3 linked regions of the Ovis aries genome follow. The protein of the gene in region 2 interacts with the protein of the main gene of each other region in a biochemical or structural test. Links are inferred from orthologs where the notes say so. Each region holds a gene or a part of one and is shown on either strand. Other genes may lie near its edges.

Region 1 (6,383 bases), on a different chromosome or scaffold from region 2:
ATGCACAGAGAGGTTCAAGAAATTTTTTTGGAGTTTGTGAATGAAGCAATAGAAAATGAAGTTTGTGGTGACCATTGCTCGTATTATTTTCTTAGTCTTAAAACCTTTGCTTCCCTACCTGTGTCTCAGCTTATATGCTGCCCCTTCCATAAAAAACCTATACTTTTCTGGGGTGGGAGGGGGATTCCTGGGGCAAGGATGCTAAATGGATATTTCATTTTAGGGCAAGTAGTAATCAGTTTGGACACACAATTGTCGGGGAGATTTCTATTTGTGAAAACTCTTTGAAATGTCAATATTACACAACCAACTAAAATAAGTAAAAAGAGGGTATATTGGCTAATAGACTTCACTTCAGAGGACCTGAGGTGAAACTAGTAAGACTAGATTGAGAGACTCAAGCAATGTCCTTGAAGGCTCTGCCATCTCTTAGTTCCACCTGGGAGTCAAGGATGGAGAGAGGGGAAAGGGAGGACCACTTCTGTTAGGCAGAGAACTTTAAAACCATTTCACTTAAAAAAAAATCTATGTGCCAGTATTCAAGCATTCTGGCACATAGCTGTTGTCAGTTGTTGATGAGAAGTCAAGCCAGAAATCAATGATTAAGTTTAACAAGGAAGAGATTTTTGCTTACGTTCGTTTTGCTGAAGTGGTGGAGGCCAAAGTCTTGTTTGCATGGATTGAGGAGAAAACAGGAGATGGGGAAACAGAGATTGTCAGTACACAAAACCCTTTCCAGGAGTTTTCCAGTAAATGAGAGCAGAAATGATGAACAGTAGCTGAAGAAGTGTGGAATCTTGGGATGCCTGACATGTGGGATCCTTCCTCCCTTCTTTTCTCCTTTCTGTAAAAGATTAAATATATTACAGCATGTTTGTCTGGTTTGGGGAATGATTGAGTAAAGATGAAGAAATTAATGATGCAAAAGATAGGATACTGATGGAAGCAAAACTCTGAGTGATTAAGAGGGTCTGGGATCCTTTGCAGAAGTATAAAGGTTGCCCTTAGATATAGACAGACAGTTCATCCTTTGTCATAAGAGGGAGGCAGTATATGTAAGTAAAGATTCAGAAAGGCTGGTAGATTTGGAGATGGGAGGATGTGTAAAGATATCAGTTTGGATTTTATAGCAGGAAGACCACATTAATAGTTTTGATTTAACAAAAGACAGTATGTCTCCTTCAAGGAAATGTTGGGATGTTGGGGTAGTTAGTCTAGAGCTGATGCAGTGATTCCATAGTCAATTATCCAGGCTCCATCTATCTGCAACCTCAAATGTGCATCTCACCTATGGTGGTCGAGAAGTGATACTCTAGCTCCTATTATTATGTCTGAATACTAGATAGAAGGCAGAGGGTAAGTGGAAAGGAAGAGCACAAGAGAAGTCTTTAAAGGGGGCAACCTGGAAAATGTCCTTATTCCTTCTGTTCACATGTCATTGGCCAGAATGTAATCACATTCTCACTCCTAACTGCAGAGGAGGCTGGGAAGTTTAGTATTTGAGTAGGTGACCGTGTGCTCAACCAACCTGTTCTTACTGGATGAGAAGTGGAGAATGGGTATCGTGCAGCTGCCAGAAGCCTCTGCTACAAGAAATACAGTGGCTTTCTTCTAATTTCTCAGTAAAGAGCTGTGATTGCTGCACATAAGAATGGATGAGATTCTGGGGGTTTGAAGAGAGAGGAGGAGCTAAATAGCCATTTGAAGACTGGATTAAATAAAGACCCATAGTAAGACTGGCTTCCCAGCCAATGCAGGAGATACAAGGGGTGTGGGTTTGATCCCTGGGTCAGGAAGATCCCTTGAAGAAGGAAATAGCAACCCACTCCAGTATTCTTGCCTGGAAAATCCCATGGACAGAGGAGTCCATAGAGATTTTCTATGGACTTCCCTGGTGGCTCAGATGGTAAAGTGTCTGCCTACCATGCGGGAGACCTGGGTTGGATCCCTGGGTCAGGAAGATCCTCTGGAGAAAGAAATGGCAATCCACTCCAGTACTCTTGCCTGGAAAATCCCATGGATGGAAGAGCCAGGTAGGCTACAGTCCATGGGGTCGCAAAGAGTTGGACATGACTGAGCAACTTCACCTTCACCTTCATGCATCCATAGGACTGTGGGATGCAGTCTATAGAGTAGCAAAGAGTCGGACACAACTGAAGGACTGGGTGCATCATCTTGATTCCTCCCTGAATCTTGACATGAAGAAACTCTGACATATGGTACGTTTGTGATCAGGCACATGTTTCACTGGACCAGAGATTTCCTTGCAATGAAACTCAGCTGACAAAGAAAAAATTGTCCTTGGCTCTGTGGATGACATGTTTGTTTTTGGTATTACCCAATTTGTGAACTGGAGGCATCTGAAAAGGGTTGGCAATGATGTTCATCTCCAGAAGCTATCCTCCATGAAACACCAAGACTCGGGCTGAAGTGGGTGCTAGAGATGCACTATGATATGTTCTCAGATGGCCATGCTTCTATTAAGATTTTTTAAATTATTTTCTCAAGATAAATACCCAAGTGGAACTCTCAGAGAGCTTCTTCATTTTTCCTGTCACAAAGAATTGGTGATCTCATAGTCACAGGAGCTTGTAATAAATAACCAACATTGATTTCTCTGTTCCAGAATTATTTTGCTTCCCTTATTTCCAGAGCCCTGACACTTGCTGAGAAAGCTAGTATTGGAAAATCATTTACGTGGTGGCACAGACTCCCCCACTGCCTTGGATATAAATCCATGCAGGATGGAGCAGGTCTAGAGGCAAAGAATCTAGGACTTCTGGTTGCTGAGCTTTCAGCCAAAGACATCTTCTCCAGAAGGGTGAATCCAGATGCTAGAAGTATTGGAGGCATAGACTGACCATGGAGAGGCTGTTGTGGTGCTTCCTGGCCTTGGTCGGCTTCTCTAGTGTTTTGGGCCAGACAGGTAGGGGCTACTCCAGGATGTGCCAAGTATTTGATTTGAGTGATAGGAGTGGGGCCTAAGATTATACAAGGTGAAGTCAGAGGGACATCCAGCATGGGTGAGTGTGTGTATGTCTGTGTGTGTGTATGACACTGAGGAAAAATCAGTCTATTTCTCAATCCCAAACTCTATTTATGCAGGAATAGATCTTTGTGATCTGAGAAACTTCTCACCTCTCCTCTGCTTTCTGTCTCACAGACTTGCATAAGAAGGCCTTCGTGTTTCCCAAAGAGACGGAGAATTCCTACGTATCTCTGAAAACACAGTTAGAGACCCCACTCAAAGCCTTCACCGTGTGTCTCTATTTCTACACAGAGCTGGCCCGAACCCGCAGCTACAGCATTTTCTCTTATGCCACCAGGCAGCAACCTAACGAGATCCTCATATTTTGGTCTAAGGGTAGAGGCTATACTTTTGGAGTACATGGGAAGGAGGTATCATTCCAGAGTTTCGAAAATACTCAAGCTCCAACACACATCTGTGCCAGCTGGGAGTCCACCTCCGGAATTGCAGAGCTCTGGGTGAATGGGAAACCCCGGGTGAGGAAGAGTCTGGAGAAGGGAGCCTCTCTGGGGAAAGACGCCAGCATCATCCTGGGGCAGGAGCAGGATGCGTTCGCTGGGGGCTTTGATAGAAACCAGTGTTTGGTGGGAGACATTGGAGATGTGAACATGTGGGACTTTGTGCTGTCGCCGGAAGAGATTAACACTGTCTATATTGGTGGGAACCTCAGTCCTAATGTCCTTAACTGGAAGGCGCTGAACTATGAAGCAAAGGGTGAGGTGTTCATTAAGCCTCAGCTGTGGTAGTGAGGTTGGGCTGTGGTCCTGGAAGTGCTTCCTGGCAATTCCACCCTATGGCTCTGGACCTCCCCACCCCTGTACACACCGCTGCAGGCCTGCTCTGTGAACACAGGCTTTTGCTTCCCTGCTCTACCTTCCTTAACACCAGATGGAATTTTTAAGTATCTGGCTTGGGAGATTGGAAAGCTTTGCCCACAAGGTCAGGATTGCAGATGCTTTGGGATTTCCTGTTTTTTTTTTTTTTTTTAAATTGATTATCTTAGATTATTTTAGAGATAATCCCTTACCCTCACTTAGATAAGAAGATTAGGACCCAGCAAGGAGAAGTGATTTTTTTTTTTTTAAGTCAAAAGGTGAATCTTTGGGCTGAGTAGGGAGTGCTGGTCTCATATCTAATTTCCTACTAAGAACCCCCCAGAAAGTAGGAGAGTCTTCCTCATCTTCACAGGGCTCTTCAGTGTCAGAGTTCTGACACTGGCCCAGGTCTTCTGAAATGGGAAACCTAGTGATGCAAAGTACCCTGGAAGGGCAATCAGAAAGGCCCAATACAGAAAACCTATATTTTTTCATGGGCAAAGTGGAGGCATCTAGTTAGTTACTTTAATTGTTATTGCCAAGCGTTTACATAGCCATGTTTTTGTTTGCTCACAGTGATTTCTTCATTTTGTGGTTCTTTTGGGGAACTCTTCTCAAACACCATCTGAACCACATGGGACGGTGCATCCCCACCTGTTTCCCCAACATAGCCAGGCCACAGAGTGGGTGTGACTCACACTGAACTATCAGAGTAGCCAAAACTTGTTTGGAGATTTAGGATGGCGGGATGGTTACATGCTCCTAGCTGGACACATTATAGTCTTTCCCAGGACTGATTTATGAACTCTGGGAGTGAGACATCTTTCTGCTGGAATTCCCATCTGAGAGGGTATTAGCCTGAGACTGTCAGCAGCCATCTTGTCTACCACATGGAGAAAGACTGTGAGGAAAGAGGCCAAGCTGTGGTCAGCAGAGCTGAGGAATTGACAGAGCAGTGGAGCCTTGACTGGACTGTTTGAATTTCTGGATCTGCTTTGCCTGGAACCAGATCTACACCTGAACCTCTCATGTTCATGAACCAGTAAAGCCCCTGTTTATATTAGTGAACCTGAGCTGTTATCTGATGGTTGTATTTCAAGTGGTGACTAACTTTTCTAACAATCTTCTGAAACCAAGTCCCTGTGAGTTCAGATGAACCATTACCTGTCTTGCAGTGACATAGCTAATGGCTCTCCAACCTCCCATAGGGATTTTTTTCTGTCGAGCGCAACCCCTCTTTTGTGATAGCTGGTAATTTGTGTGAGGCCAGTTGTGGGGGTGTAAAACTCTCACTCTAGAGAGTAAGAGGTATAAACTATTTTGTATAAAATAAGCTACAAGAATATATTGTACAACATGAGGAATATAGCTGATATTTTATAGTAGCTATAAATGGAGTATAACCTCTAGACATTGTAAGTCATTATATTGTACACCTGTAGCATATAATATAGTACTGCAACTATACTTCAGTTAAAAAAACTCACTGTGTTATTACTCCAATATGAGGAACAAAAACTAAAGCTCATTGACATCCAAGAATCTGCTGTCAGTTTCAATGGCTGGAATGCACTTTCCAAGCTGCTTAAGTCCCTTGTAGAGAAAGACCCCCCAAGGGTGATGGCTGCTGGTTTCTTCCAAAGGTGTCCTTCACCTTGGCTTTTTAGTACTAAGTGAGCTGTTGAAATTACCCCACAGAAGTCACACTAAAGTATGAACTAGCCCTGTGACTATGTATCAAATAGCTACTTTGGGGAAGGCATACAGTAGACTAGTTAAACATAAAGTTTCTGGAATCACCCTGCCTAGGTTTAAATCCTGGCTTTACAACTTACTATGTGACTTTTTGTCTTGGTTTTCTTGTCTATAAAGTGAGGAGAAATAATAGTAATTAGCTCAAAGAGCTGTTGAAAGGATCAAGTGAGATCATGCGTATAGAGCACTTTAGGGTAGTGCCTGGCACATAGTAAACTCTCAGGATAGTTATCTGCTATTATTATTATTGAAGAGAAGGGGATGACAGAGGATGAGATGGCTGGATGGCATCACCAACTCAATCGACATGAGTTTGAGCAAGCTCTGGAAGTTGGTGATGGACAGAAAAGCCTGGCCTGCTGAGTCCATGGGGCACAAAGAGTTGGATATGACTGAGCGACTGAACTGAACTTTGTATGCTGTCCGCAATCAAAGGTGGATTATATACCATTGAAACACAATTTGGTGGAATTAGTCTGGGTTGATTGCAGTTGAAAGGTCTGAATCTTAACCAAAAATTAAACTCAGAATATTAGAATGATAAATTTATGAGTGTTGATTTATGAACATTGATTCCCCTAATTGACTTTTGGTAACCATTTGAAAGCATAGAAGTTAAGGGTAAGGACTTGCCTGGCGGTCCAGTGGTTAAGACTCTGCACTTCCAATGTAGGGGTCTCAGCTTTGATCCCTGGTTGGGGAACTGAGATCCCACATGCTGCACAACATAGACAAATAAATAAATTTTAAAAATGTGGAAAAAAAAGAGAAGTTAAGGATATGTT
Region 2 (6,295 bases):
GACAGAGGAGCCTGGAGGGCTATAGTCCAAAGGGTTGCAAACAGTTGGACAAGATTGAGGGACTAAGCACACAGCACCATTTTCATAAATCCATCTTAAACAAGTTTAAATATCTTTAGTATAATTCTTATGTGGATTGAAATCTGTTTAATACTGTTAACACTCTCATTTTAAAAGAAATTGTGGTTCGAAAAATCATTTTAGATTTATGCTTGCAATTGCTATTAAGGTCACTGACATGTTTTCTAAAGTTACAGTTTTCTTTCCTGTAATAACTTGTTTAAGTTTGCCAAAATTTTACGAGGTACTGTTGGAAAAAAGAGTATTGTTACAAAACAGGCAGGAAAGAAGTTGAGAAGTAAAGGAAGCATCCCCAGAAAAGACTCTGTTCAGTTGACCTGACATTTTTCTGTATGTGATGGTTTTAGGAAAGTCCACAACACCTTCCACACTCCTCTCTCCAAATATTAGAGCCTAAGTCCTCTCTACTGAGTGTGCAGGACTTAGTGACCATTTCTCATGATTGCACATGACTGACGTGACAGTGTGACAAACTCATACCTGCTGTGGAGGCTTCCTCCTCCCTGTCTGCTGTCACTGGCCCTGAGGAAAGCTAGATATCTCTCAAGCAACCTGCGCAGATGACCACGAGGTCAGGTGCTGAGGCCTCCCCCAAAAGCCAAGAGAGTGAGCCAATTTGGAAGCAAAGCCTCCAGCCCAGCTCAATGTCCAGGTAACAGCGGCCCAGGCCATTACCCAGTTGCCTCCCAAACAGAGTAATACATAACTAGCCAGCGAAGCCCTTTCTTTATTCTTGACCCACAGGAGCTGTACGAATATGGAGGTGTATTGTCTTAAGCCAATGTGTTTTCTGGAACATTTGTTAATTAGGACTATGTATCTAATATAATGGGCATCCCACTTGGTGCTAGTGGTAAACAAGGGCCCCGCCTGCCAATGCAGGAGACATAGTACAGGCAGGTTTGATCCTTGGGTTTGGATGATCCCGTGGAGGCAGGCATGGCAACCCACTCCAGTATTGTTGCCTGGAAAATCCCATGGACAGAGAAGCCTGGTGGGCTACAGCCGATGGGGAGGCAAAGAGTCAGACATGACTGAAGCGACTTAGCACGCAGGCATGCAGGTATCTATCTACAATAGGTGTTAGTTGATGTGAGTTTTACTTAATGGCTTGAATCTGATATTACAATTATTTTGCATGCTAAAAATTTCATAAGTGCACCCATAAATTATGGAAGAAAAACTTTGCTTAAATATTCAAACATTTAGCTTTAAGACCACTTTTGGAAAGAGTTCAGTTGTTAATGAGAAGAGAAGGGTTGCACTGGAATATCTGGTGAAGATTTGTCAAAGTTTCACATTTCTCTTTCATATTGTGTACTCTTTCTCCTCTTGTTTGGAAATATGCCTGTAGTCTTATTCTGCTGCTGCTGCTGCTGCTAAGTCGCTTCAGTCATGTTCGACTCTGTGCGACCCCATAGACGGCAGCCCACCAGGCTCCCCCATCCCTGGGATTCTCCAGGCCAAGAACACTGGAGTGGGTTGCCATTTCCTTCTCCAATGCATGAAAGTGCAAAGTGAAAGTGAAGTTGCTCAGTCATGTCCGACTCTTAGCGATCCCATGGACTGCAGCCTACCAGGCTCATCTGCCCATGGGATTTTCCAGGCAAGGGTACTGGAGTGGGGTGCCATTGCCTTCTCCAGTAATCTTATTCTAGCTGATTAATAAACCATCACTCATGTACCTGAGAATCAGGAGAAACAATTCATGTCTGCCTGTTCCTCAGCAAGAATAATGGTGATACAGCCTTTCTTATAAGTGATCTGGGGCCAGAGCTGCTTTTAATTGTAACACTAAGGACTAGACAGGGAGCTTTATTATGTTGCAAATGTTGTTCACGAAGAAAATTACCAAATGGACTAAAATAGCATGCGACAAATTATGAGATGAATAATGCAGAATGATGCATATTCTATTCACATCTTGAATTTCATGTGGGATCTTAAAACTCATTAGAGTTTTCATTTATAAAAACTTGAAGACAAATGGATTATTAAAGAAAATGAAAGACAAAAACATCATAATGAAGAACATATAAGTTTTATATTTTGGAGTAAAATCTTGGTTTTTAATATGATTTAATTACCTATATTAATACATGTATATAAGCTGATTTTTGCTTTTCATTTGTATTGGAGTTGCTTTTAAATATTGGGTTAGCTTCTGCTGTACATCAAAGTGAATCTGAATCTGTTATATGAAAATACACACACACACACACACACACACATATATATATATATATATATATCCCCTTTTCTTGGATTTCTTTCCCATTTAGGTCACCAGAGAGCATTGAGTGGAGCTGCCTATGATACACAGTAAGTTCTCCTTAGTTATCTATTTTATCCACACCTGCCAGGACATGGAATCAACCTAAATGTCCATCAACAGAAGAACAGATGCAGAAGAAGTGGTACATATACACAGTGAAATATTACTCAGCCATAAAATGCGATGAAATTGCACAATTTGCAGAGACATGGATAGACCCAGAGACTGCCACATAGAGTGAAGCAAGTCAGAAAGAGAAAAATAAATATTGTATAATATTGTTTATAAATGGAATCTAAAAAATGCTACGGATGAACTTATTGCAAAGCAAAAATAGAGATACAGGCATAGAGAATGGATGTATAGATACAAGGGGGCCCAAGAGTAGAGGGATGAATTGGGAGAGTGTAAAAAATAGATAACTAATGAAAACAACTGGTAAGTTTAAAAATAAAAGTGACAATTTTTTTAAGGTTGTCAACATTTACATTTCTCTCTGAAAAGAATTCTAAATATATTGGCACTACACTGGAAATTAAGACTGTCTTTCACATTTTGTAAAAGGAAAATATATCTTGTACCTACGCTGGTTTTTAAAAACTAACAGTGATGTTAATGACCTTTAATAGATTTATTAAGCTATAATCACAATACAGTCAACTGAATATATTTAAAATGAGATTTGAACCTGCAAAAATCACCATATGTAAAAGTATAAAAATAACCATTGTTCTCCAGAGCTTTCTCATATTACAAGTACGACTCTCCTAAACATTCTGGAATTATAATCTACTTTCCTGTGACACATTTTCTATTCACATTTTCATGAGCATATTCACATGACCCCATAATCTACATAGAGTACCTTTTTGCACTGTGGAACTCAGATGACATAGAAAAGTATTCATTTTGTTTTCCCCTTTTAGGTGAATGTCTGATCATTTTTCCATTAAGGTATTCTTATGGTTATCTCACAGTGCAGACTATTTTAACCAGTTTATTCAATCAAAAATACACACAAAGGAAAGTAGATAGTTATATTTAGAAGGAAGGCTGAGTGTTCACATCGGTTTCAACTTACCCTGTCCATGAACAGTGTAAAACCACAAGGTGAGAAGGACATTGATTAACAACAACATGTTAGATTTTCCCAATGGTACATTCACACAAATACTCCAGTTGCACTGTTTAGGGTTCAAAAATCTGCTTCATTTGCAGTTACCTAGTGTGACTGAATTTATGCGTTACAATGAAGTTGGTTAATTAGTGCCATTTAGTAAATATCAAAGTTCAAAGTTTTGAAATGTCCCTACCTTGTTTCTGTTGGTAGTTTCCCAATAAGTCATTGTATTCACCACCTGATATCTATGTGCACAACTTTCTGTGGCTGATATGGACTAGCTCCAAAGCCATATATCAGATACTAACTTTCAATAATATATTTCAAGACAGTAGGTGAAGTTTTTACCAGCCATTTGGGTCATCCATATTTTCATGGACTGGGGAAAGTGAATAAATTAAAAAAAAATTATAGTAGAGCTTAAAAACAGTCATATAAATTATAGCACAATCCCTTCACTTGCGTGCTATTTATGTATGGGTTCTATGATGATCAACTTCCTAATGTTGTTAGCATGTAATTGACATAAAGCACCGCATAAGTTTCAGGTGTATGGCCTAATGATGTAATTTACATATATCCTGAAATGATTGCAACAATAAGGTTTGTGAATAGCCATCATCTCATACAGATATAAAAGTAAAGAAAAAAGAATTTGTGATGAGAACTCAGGACTTACCATCCTATTAACTTTCATACTTAAGATACAGCAGAATTAGTCATATTAATCATGTTGTACACTACATTCTTAGTACTAATCTATCTCACAGCAGGAAGTTGGTACCTTTTGACTGGCTTCATCCAGTTCCCCTATCTCCAGGCCTAGCCTATGGTAATCACAAATGAGATTTATTTTTCAAAGTATTTGTTTGTTCTTTTAAGTACAGTTGGCCTACAACATTCTGTTACTTTCTGTTACATAGTGTAGTGATTCCATGTTTCTGTCCATTTCAAAATAATTGCCACAGTAAGTCTAGTTACAATCTAGCAAGATTTTAAAAATTGCATAATTATTGACTAAATGCTCCGCACTGAATATTTCATGTTTATGACTCATCTATCTTGCACCTGGAAGTTTCTCCCCTTAACCTCTCCCTCACCAGAGGATCTGGAGTGCATCCCTTAAAAAGACACATACAGAATTGTTCATTGCAGCTTTATTCATAAATGGCAAAAATGCAATTGTTCCCATGAACATTGAGAAAATGGATAAAACATTTGTAGCATTTTCATATGACTGATTAATACGCACTAATTTAGAAAATGATAGAGAGTGGTTTGGGATAATCTCACAGCTCTTGTAAATGGAAAAAAATCAAACACACTCACTAAGTACATATCTTATAATTTCATTGGTAGGCTTTCGAAAGGTTGAAAACCTCATCATGAAGGTGGTGTAACGTGTGGTACAGAATGGGATGAGACACAAGGAAACCTGAGGTTGTGTTGGACATTTACTCAATTTAGTCCTGGGTAGTAGTTACACAGGCATACATGTGTGTTAAAAAAATTATCAATCACGTTAAGATTAACTTTAGGTGTTTAGCTATTTCTATGTTTAACGTTGCCTTAAAAATTACCATTTTCAGAATAAAATGTAAAGTTAAAAGTCAAAATCCAATCCAGAGGACACACCTTATGTCTCAAATCAAAAGGACTTGAAAGAGCCTTGAGTTTTTATCCCCAAACACAAGAATTTGGGGTATTGGTCATACTAGATTCTACTGAATAATATGAAATCCTATATGAAAAATTAAACAAATTTGTGAATGGGGTGCTATTTTCACTTTCAACATTTGAATGTTTCTTTTTTTATGTATACCTTCTATAAAAATAGTTGTGGACATTTCCATAAGCTAAAATTTCCATACAACTTATGTTTTCATAAAGAAAACTACAGATTGTTTAAATGTTTATCAATAAAAGAATGTTGAAAAAAAGAAAAAGATAAAGTTACCTGTGGCAGATTCATGTTGATGTATGGCAAAATCAATACAATATTGTAAAGTAATTAACCTCCAATTAAAATAAATAAATTTATATTTTTTAAAAAAGTTATTGTTTTTCTTCAAACGTTCATTTCTCATTGAACACAAACCTCCACTCCAAAAAGAAATAGTGTAGTTATGGAACATGGAGAGACTTCAAAAGGCATGAAGGAACATTTGGGATGATGAAAATATTCTACATCTTGATTATAGAGTAATTGTATAGATGTATTGGAAAGAAAATGGAAACTTACTCCACTATTCTTGCCTGGGAAATACCATGGACAGAGAAGCTTGGCAGGCTACCCTCCATGGGATCACAAGAGTTGGACACAGCCTGTCACGACAAAACTATATATATTTTGTGAGACTCATCATGTTGCATATTTAGAATAGACAGGTTAAACATGTCTTCTCTGTAAGGGTAATGGGAAGTTCCACAGAGCTCTAGGTGGGGGAAAATAGAAGGACTTTAGAATTCTCCAAAGAAACTAAAAATCCAAGGCAATAATAGAAGAGCATTTTCATAAAAGTTAAGAAAAAAAATGAAAATCAAGAGTTTTATATCCATACAACCAGACAGCCAAGTATTACACTACAGAAAATATTTTTAATTGTGCAAGAACTCATAGGACACTATTGATCTACAGATGCACACATTCTGTGGCTTTAGCTACATGCTTAGTCACTCAGTCATGTCTGACTTTTGCTGTCCTTTGGATTTTAGCCCACCAGTCTCCTCTGTCTATTAGATTTTCTAGGCAAGAATAAAGGTGAGGATTTCCATTACCTCCTCCACAGAATCTTCACAAACCAGCAATCAAACTAGTA
Region 3 (6,280 bases), on a different chromosome or scaffold from region 2:
TTATTTCATCATAATTTCATTACTCTCTTTGCCTTAAAGTCTATTTTTGACTAATATTAATACAGCTATGCTAGCTTTTCTGAATAGCCCTTGTTTGGTATATTCTCTCACCACCTTTAAATTTTTTGCTTTCAGGGTTTCTAGATTCTTGTGTTTGATGTGTGATCTTATAAGTGACACAGAACTGGACTTAAAATATATTCCTATCTGACAACTCTTGTCTCTTAACTGGAATGTTTGTTTCATTAATATTTAGTGATTAGTATTTACAGTATTAGGTATATTTATAGTATTAGGTATTAGGTATAGTATAGGTACTACCTAATTAGTATTAGGTATATTTATAGTATTAGGTATTAGGTATATTAGGTATAGTATTAAGTATTTATAGTATTAGGTATATTAGTATTTACAGTATTAGGTATATTCATAGTATTAGGTATATTTTACATTACAGGTGCTTTTTGGAGAAAGAAATGGCAACCTACTCCAGTATTCCTGCCTGGAGAATTCCATGGGCAGAGAAGCCTGGTGCGCTACAGTCCGTGGGGTTGCAAGAGTCTGACGTGACTTAGCAACTAAACCACTGCCACATGTGCTTTCTTTTTATCTTGCTTTGTCTATCCTTTTCTTCCCTTCTTTACTACTTCCTATTAAACAGCTCGTTTTTTTTTTTTTTTTAATTCACTCTATTCCTTCTATTTGGTCATTTTATTTCCTCTTGGTTTTGGTGGCTGTCATTTGAAAGATAAACATACTTGAACTAACAAAGAAAAATTAACTTTGCTATCCGGAACAATGAAAGGACATTAGAATTATTTTCTTAGATCTTTCTTCCAGTTCCTTAATATTCTTTTCAGCTTTGCCAATCCTTTAATTTCTTAAAAATTTCAATTAATTTTTTAACTCAAGGTTATATTTGAGTCTTTAAATAATAGGCCTATTTTTCTTCTTTTGACAGTGTCTTTTTCATTTTTCAGGTTTCCAGTTCTTTCAAACACACTTATTTTCCAGTTTCTAGCTGATATTTTAAATAAATGAAATTCTTGAGGGAGGGGTGTCCAATCCCTTTTGGTTTCTGCTGGTTCTCATTTATGGTAGATTGTTTAATCCTATGTTTAAATATTTTTTATTATGAATTTTCACTGTGGCAGATAGTACACATTTGCTTCTCGAACATGTATAAGGGCAGGCCCAAAGTCGCAAACTCTTAGGGACCTTGTAGAGTTCAGTCAAAGAGAGACAGGCTTACTTCTCTCTTTTCTGTGCTAGGGTAAGGACTGGGGCTATATCTATTGAAATCTAGTCAGTTAACTCCCCACCCAGACCTAAGCCTTGTGGCCCTTAACACTTGGTTAACACAGAACTGAAACATCTCTTCCCCCTTCACCTCCCCTGATGTGTGTGCGTGCGCGTGTGTGTGTGTGTGTGTGTGTGTGTGTGTGTGTGTGTAGGGGGGCTCTAGATTCAGCTCATGGGCTCACTGACCAGTTTTTGGTTCCCTCTCTTTGGGTAGGTGGCATTAGTGGTAAAGAACCCACCTGCCGATGAAAGAGACATAAGAGATGTGGGTTCAATCCCTGGGTCAGGAAGATCTCTTGGAGAAGGGCATGGCAACTCACTCCAGTATTCTTGCCTGGGAAATTCAATGGACAGAGGAGACTAGCGGGGCTGCAGTCCATAGGGTCACAAAGAGTTGGACATGACTGAAGCGACTTATCACCCTTGGCCTCTGGATATTGTCCTTACTTTATTGGGAACTTATTTGTATATTTAAAGTTTTTAATTATTATTCAAATGTAAACACATTTCTAGTTTGGTTTTTTTTTTTTCAGCTTATATAGATCTCCATATACTGACAGAAGCGGGAATCCCTAAATTTACTTTAAAAACATGATCTTTGACTCTGAGCCTAGTGAAATAAGATACCCACATAATAGATTATGAAAAGAAACACACCTAAAAAGTCAGTTTATTCCTTTCCCCCGACTTCTCCTTATTTTCGGTTTACTGGTTTTGCTGTGCTTCTCATTAAAAAGTATGTTTATAAAAGTATAGTTGTAACTCCAGAAGGATTAAAGATGGAATGACTTGAAATGGATTTGGATTATAGAACCGTACAAATTCTTACTGTGTTGGTTTATCTTGAAATCAGAAAGTAACTTTCACATCTTAGACCTGTAAAACTGTACAAAGAAAAAGTGAAAAAATGTTTTCTATGTGTAAAGGGTTGTGAAATAATGAGAGCGCACACAAAATGCTGGGATGATGCTCTTGTTTTCACACCTCTATGCCTGCTGAATCTATTCCCCTAAATCTCTATTCCCCTAATCCCTCTCCTCTCCCTCTCATCCTTCAGTACTACCAATTCAAGTTACAACAGCTAATCCCCAGGGGGAAACAGTCCTAGCCTTGTCTTCCCCTTTCTTTCCCCTCTGACACTCCTCCAATTAATCTGACTGTACTGTAAACCTTTGCGGTTTACTATTGTGCAACGTCCCCCGTCCCCCACATCTCCTTCACCCTCCTTTCCCCCAGCCCCCTCCCCCACAAATCTGGGGAAATCCCGTTAAGGCAGTGCCACTGGCATTACTCATTCATCCCCATTCAGACTTTCCCCAGCATTTATTAAGGGCCCTCAGCTCCTGCCTCTCACTCGCACTCTCCTCCGCTCCTCCTGCACTCTGAGAGCCTCTTGCCTCGTCCCCTCCCGACAGCGGTGGGAAGAACGTCGTCTCTCCAGCAATGCACATCTCTGTGATTCTGTTTTGTGCTCTCTGGTCTGCAGTGTCGGCGGAGAACTCAGATGATTATGAGCTCATGTATGTGAATTTGGACAACGAAATAGACGATGGACTCCATCCCACCGAGGACCGTAAGTTCGTTTTAACTCTTTCTCTGCTAACCCTTAACTACATATCTACCTCCTTAGGTCTAAGTATTATACATATATTCTGTTGCCAATGCAATAAACAACAATAACCAAAAAAGAGTTTTGCCAAAGAGAAAAGCACGTCAGGAAAGGAGGTTTCATAAAGTTACTTCTCTCAGATACGTAATGGGCCGAACTGTATGAAATCGCCGGTATTCGCCTGTTCTGAGAGAATTGCCATGAACGGCAATTTCATCGAGTTCGGCTTATAAAACTTGCAAGGTTTCCTTAAAGGGAAGGGGGTCCTGGGGACGGGCTGTCACTTGGCGACCATCGAGGGAGGTCGGCATTTTACAAAGAACACCCGAGGGAGGGTCAGGTCTGTAATGCGTGTATATTCCCCACTCTAGCCACGCCGTGCGACTGCAGTCGTGAGAACTCCGAGTGGGACAAGCTCTTCACCATGCTGGAGAACTCGCAGATGCGGGAGGGCATGCTGCTGCACGCCACCGAAGCCGTGCTCCAGGGAGAGCTGCAGAAGCTGAGGGCCGAGCTGGGCCGGCTGGCGGGCAGCCTGCAGAGCCTGTGCGCGCCGGAGGCCCCCGCCGAAGCCAGGCTGGCCCGGGCGCTGGACGAGCTGCTGCAGGCGAGCCGCAATGCTGGCCGCCGGCTGGCACGACTGGAAGAGGCCTGGGCGCCGCGGCCGCAGGAGGAGGCGGGGCGGGCCCTGGGCGCGGTGCTGGAGGAGCTGCGGCGGACGCGGGCCGACCTCCGAGCTGTGCAGGGCTGGGCAGTCAGCCGCTGGCTGCCGGCAGGTAAGGACGCGGGGACTGGTGGGGACCCCTGCGCGGCTTCGTTCTCAAAGTGCGAGTTGCGGGAAACCGAGTCAGCCAACCAAGCCTCTAAGGGCAGGCTTTAGTGTGAGGAAACATACCGGCTCACACCCTTCTGTTTCGGCATGCGCGGTCACAGAGCTCAGATACATCATAAAAGGAGGGAAAATTGCTTTCAAAAGTAGTCAGTCTTCAGTCCCGAGGAACCCTGAAGATAGCTGTGTAGGTAACCATCACAGTATTGAAATAGACCTCAAGGGCCTCCAGACTGACACTTGATCGGACCAGGCGTTAGAGAAACTCTATTGGCGAGTTATAAGAGTGACTGCTCTCAATGTCCAGCTTCCCTCCGTTAGGGATTTCCACTTCTTCTAATATTAGCCTGCCTCTCTCTTTAAGGGAGCTCTGGTTCCCCGCGCTATTTCAGGACCCAGCCTAATTTTTAGGAAAGTTTTCCAGTCCCTGGCTGGCCCCTTCTCCCTACCAGTTCTAAACAAGAGACTTGAGGTTGAATCTGATCTCCCAAGGGCCCCTGCCCCGAGCCCCCTGGGTCTGTGAAATAAGCTCCAGAGTGAGCTCCAAGAGTGTGAAGTTTGGAATAAACCAGCAGCTGAGGGATCCACAGTGGGACAGTCAGATGTAGGAGGTAGTTGGCATCCAGGCAGTTCCTCCGGAGTTGTGGAGGATCAGGGTGAAACAGAAGAGAAGCAGTTCAAACCAGATGCAACCTGTCCAAGTCCCATGTGATACTAGTGAACTTCCAAACATATGTGGGCCTGAAACAATACATTTTAAAGATGCCTCAAGGAAATATAGAGAAGGTTTGGAGCGAAGAACACTCCTTTACAAAAAGTCAGACTTTCTAAGAAATGGTGCTATAACAATCATTTGTGGGTTATATTAGAAAATCCGTGTTCTAGGTAAGAAAATATAACATACACTTTTCCCTGTTCATAAGCAACTTATGAACAAAAAACAATTACACCCTTCGTTATGTCCAATAAAGCAACTCTTACTATATGGGGTAGGAGGCAGAATCAAGCATATGTGAGAGCATATTTCATTTAAAATTTCAGATTTATACCAAAATACCAGTCTTTCCTAAATAATTGAGAACTGTTTATCAGTACAAACCATGTTTTTTAAAGAAGGGCTTCAGAGGGGGGAAAATCATAAAATAAACATACCATAGATCCTTAGTGTAAGTGACAGGACAAACTATAATTCTCTGGCAGTTTTAATGGATGAAATTTCTTGTCTTTTGCAAATCACGTAAAATCACTGTACATATCATGTACTGGGAAAACTGAAGAGTTATGCTAACTTTCACCTCCACCTCTGCATACCAGTTAGAGCAGAAGAAGGATGTATTTCTGAATTCAAAAGTGTTAATTCTCTTTTTTAAATTTTATTTTATTTATTTTTTGTTAATTCTTATTACATCCATTCATACATTTACCCACATGCTTTGATTTTTCCTCTCTTGGTTTCCTGCCAGCTTGGCTCCTAAGGGATTCCTAATCATTCTGTTGTCAGCCTCTTAAGAACCTGGTTTTAATTCTGTTTGGTCTTTGATAATATAATCAGAAAAAAACCTATTAGTTAAAAGCCATTTCATGAGAGAGTTTCTGACATTTTAAAGCCATATCAAGGGTCTCAATCACCGACCCCCAAAAGAAGCCACAGAAAAAACTTGCCAACATGCAGTTCTACTCATTGAACCTACATAACCAGCGCAGCCCAGAGGGGAAGCTGGGTCTCTGAGAGGCAATCAAGGAAGGCTTTGGAATGTAATCCTGACTGACTGGGCTTATTAAACAGGAAATCAGTTAATTAGATTGCAGTAGGCGCTCTCTCTGAACACTGTTTTACTGAAACATTAGACAGTATCTAAAATGCCCAAGCATATGGTGATCTTTTGTTCCATGATCTTTGTTTGATTTAAATGACAGGTAGAAGAGTATGCATCTACCAATTTCATTTTCAAAAAGAATCAATGCCTCATTAAAAATTGATTTAAAAAAATCTTTAGAAATTCAAATTATTCAGGGAAAAAGTTAATACCAAAGTATGGCAGGACCAATTTTGTGCTTTAGTGTGATGGTTACTTTTATAGGATTTTCTGAACCTCAATATCTTCTTTGACTATTTCAAAAGGATAAGGTCCATGTGCTTAATTTTTCTGGGTTGGAGCCCACCTCTCAGCCACTTGTAGATGGTTAACTTAGTCTATCACACTACACATGGACATTTGGTTCCTGCAAGTCTTGTTTACCACTTAGTCTTCAAATGCTCTGGGAATTTGCTTTTTAAAGCTATCTTATGGTAAATCTTCTTTAAAGGTTGTTATAAAGTGAATACTTAGCCCTAATTTTTGCTGTTGTTTAGTCACTAAGTCATGTCCAACTCTTTTGCGACCCCATGGACTGTAGACCACCAGGCTTCTCTTTGAGATTTCCCAGGCAAGAATATACTGGACTGGGTTGCCATTTCCTTCTCCAAGCCCTAACAGATTTTTTAAAAATTCTTTAATTGGTCTTATATATGTATATATTTGAGTTCAGCACAAGGTAGA

The links. The genes of interacting proteins can lie anywhere in the genome.
Region 1: the proteins of complement factor H-like (region 2) and CRP form a complex in vitro, tested with the Homo sapiens proteins (12 studies listed by BioGRID and IntAct, with this or other methods). The link is inferred for Ovis aries from reciprocal best matches to the Homo sapiens genes CFH and CRP.
Region 3: the proteins of complement factor H-like (region 2) and PTX3 form a complex in vitro, tested with the Homo sapiens proteins (3 studies listed by IntAct, with this or other methods). The link is inferred for Ovis aries from reciprocal best matches to the Homo sapiens genes CFH and PTX3.

What each region holds. Positions count from the first base shown.
Region 1 is NC_056054.1:110,719,609-110,725,991, reverse strand, and holds the start of CRP (C-reactive protein), read left to right. Parts: upstream 1-2,757; 5' UTR 2,758-2,862; coding exon 2,863-2,926; intron 2,927-3,163; coding exon 3,164-3,774; 3' UTR 3,775-6,383. UniProt on the Homo sapiens protein: Displays several functions associated with host defense: it promotes agglutination, bacterial capsular swelling, phagocytosis and complement fixation through its calcium-dependent binding to phosphorylcholine.
Region 2 is NC_056065.1:5,716,084-5,722,378, forward strand, and holds the start of complement factor H-like, read right to left. Parts: upstream 3,567-6,295; 5' UTR 3,496-3,566; coding exon 3,438-3,495; intron 1-3,437. UniProt on the Homo sapiens protein: Glycoprotein that plays an essential role in maintaining a well-balanced immune response by modulating complement activation.
Region 3 is NC_056054.1:230,869,478-230,875,757, reverse strand, and holds the start of PTX3 (pentraxin-related protein PTX3), read left to right. Parts: upstream 1-2,654; 5' UTR 2,655-2,745; coding exon 2,746-2,875; intron 2,876-3,282; coding exon 3,283-3,687; intron 3,688-6,280.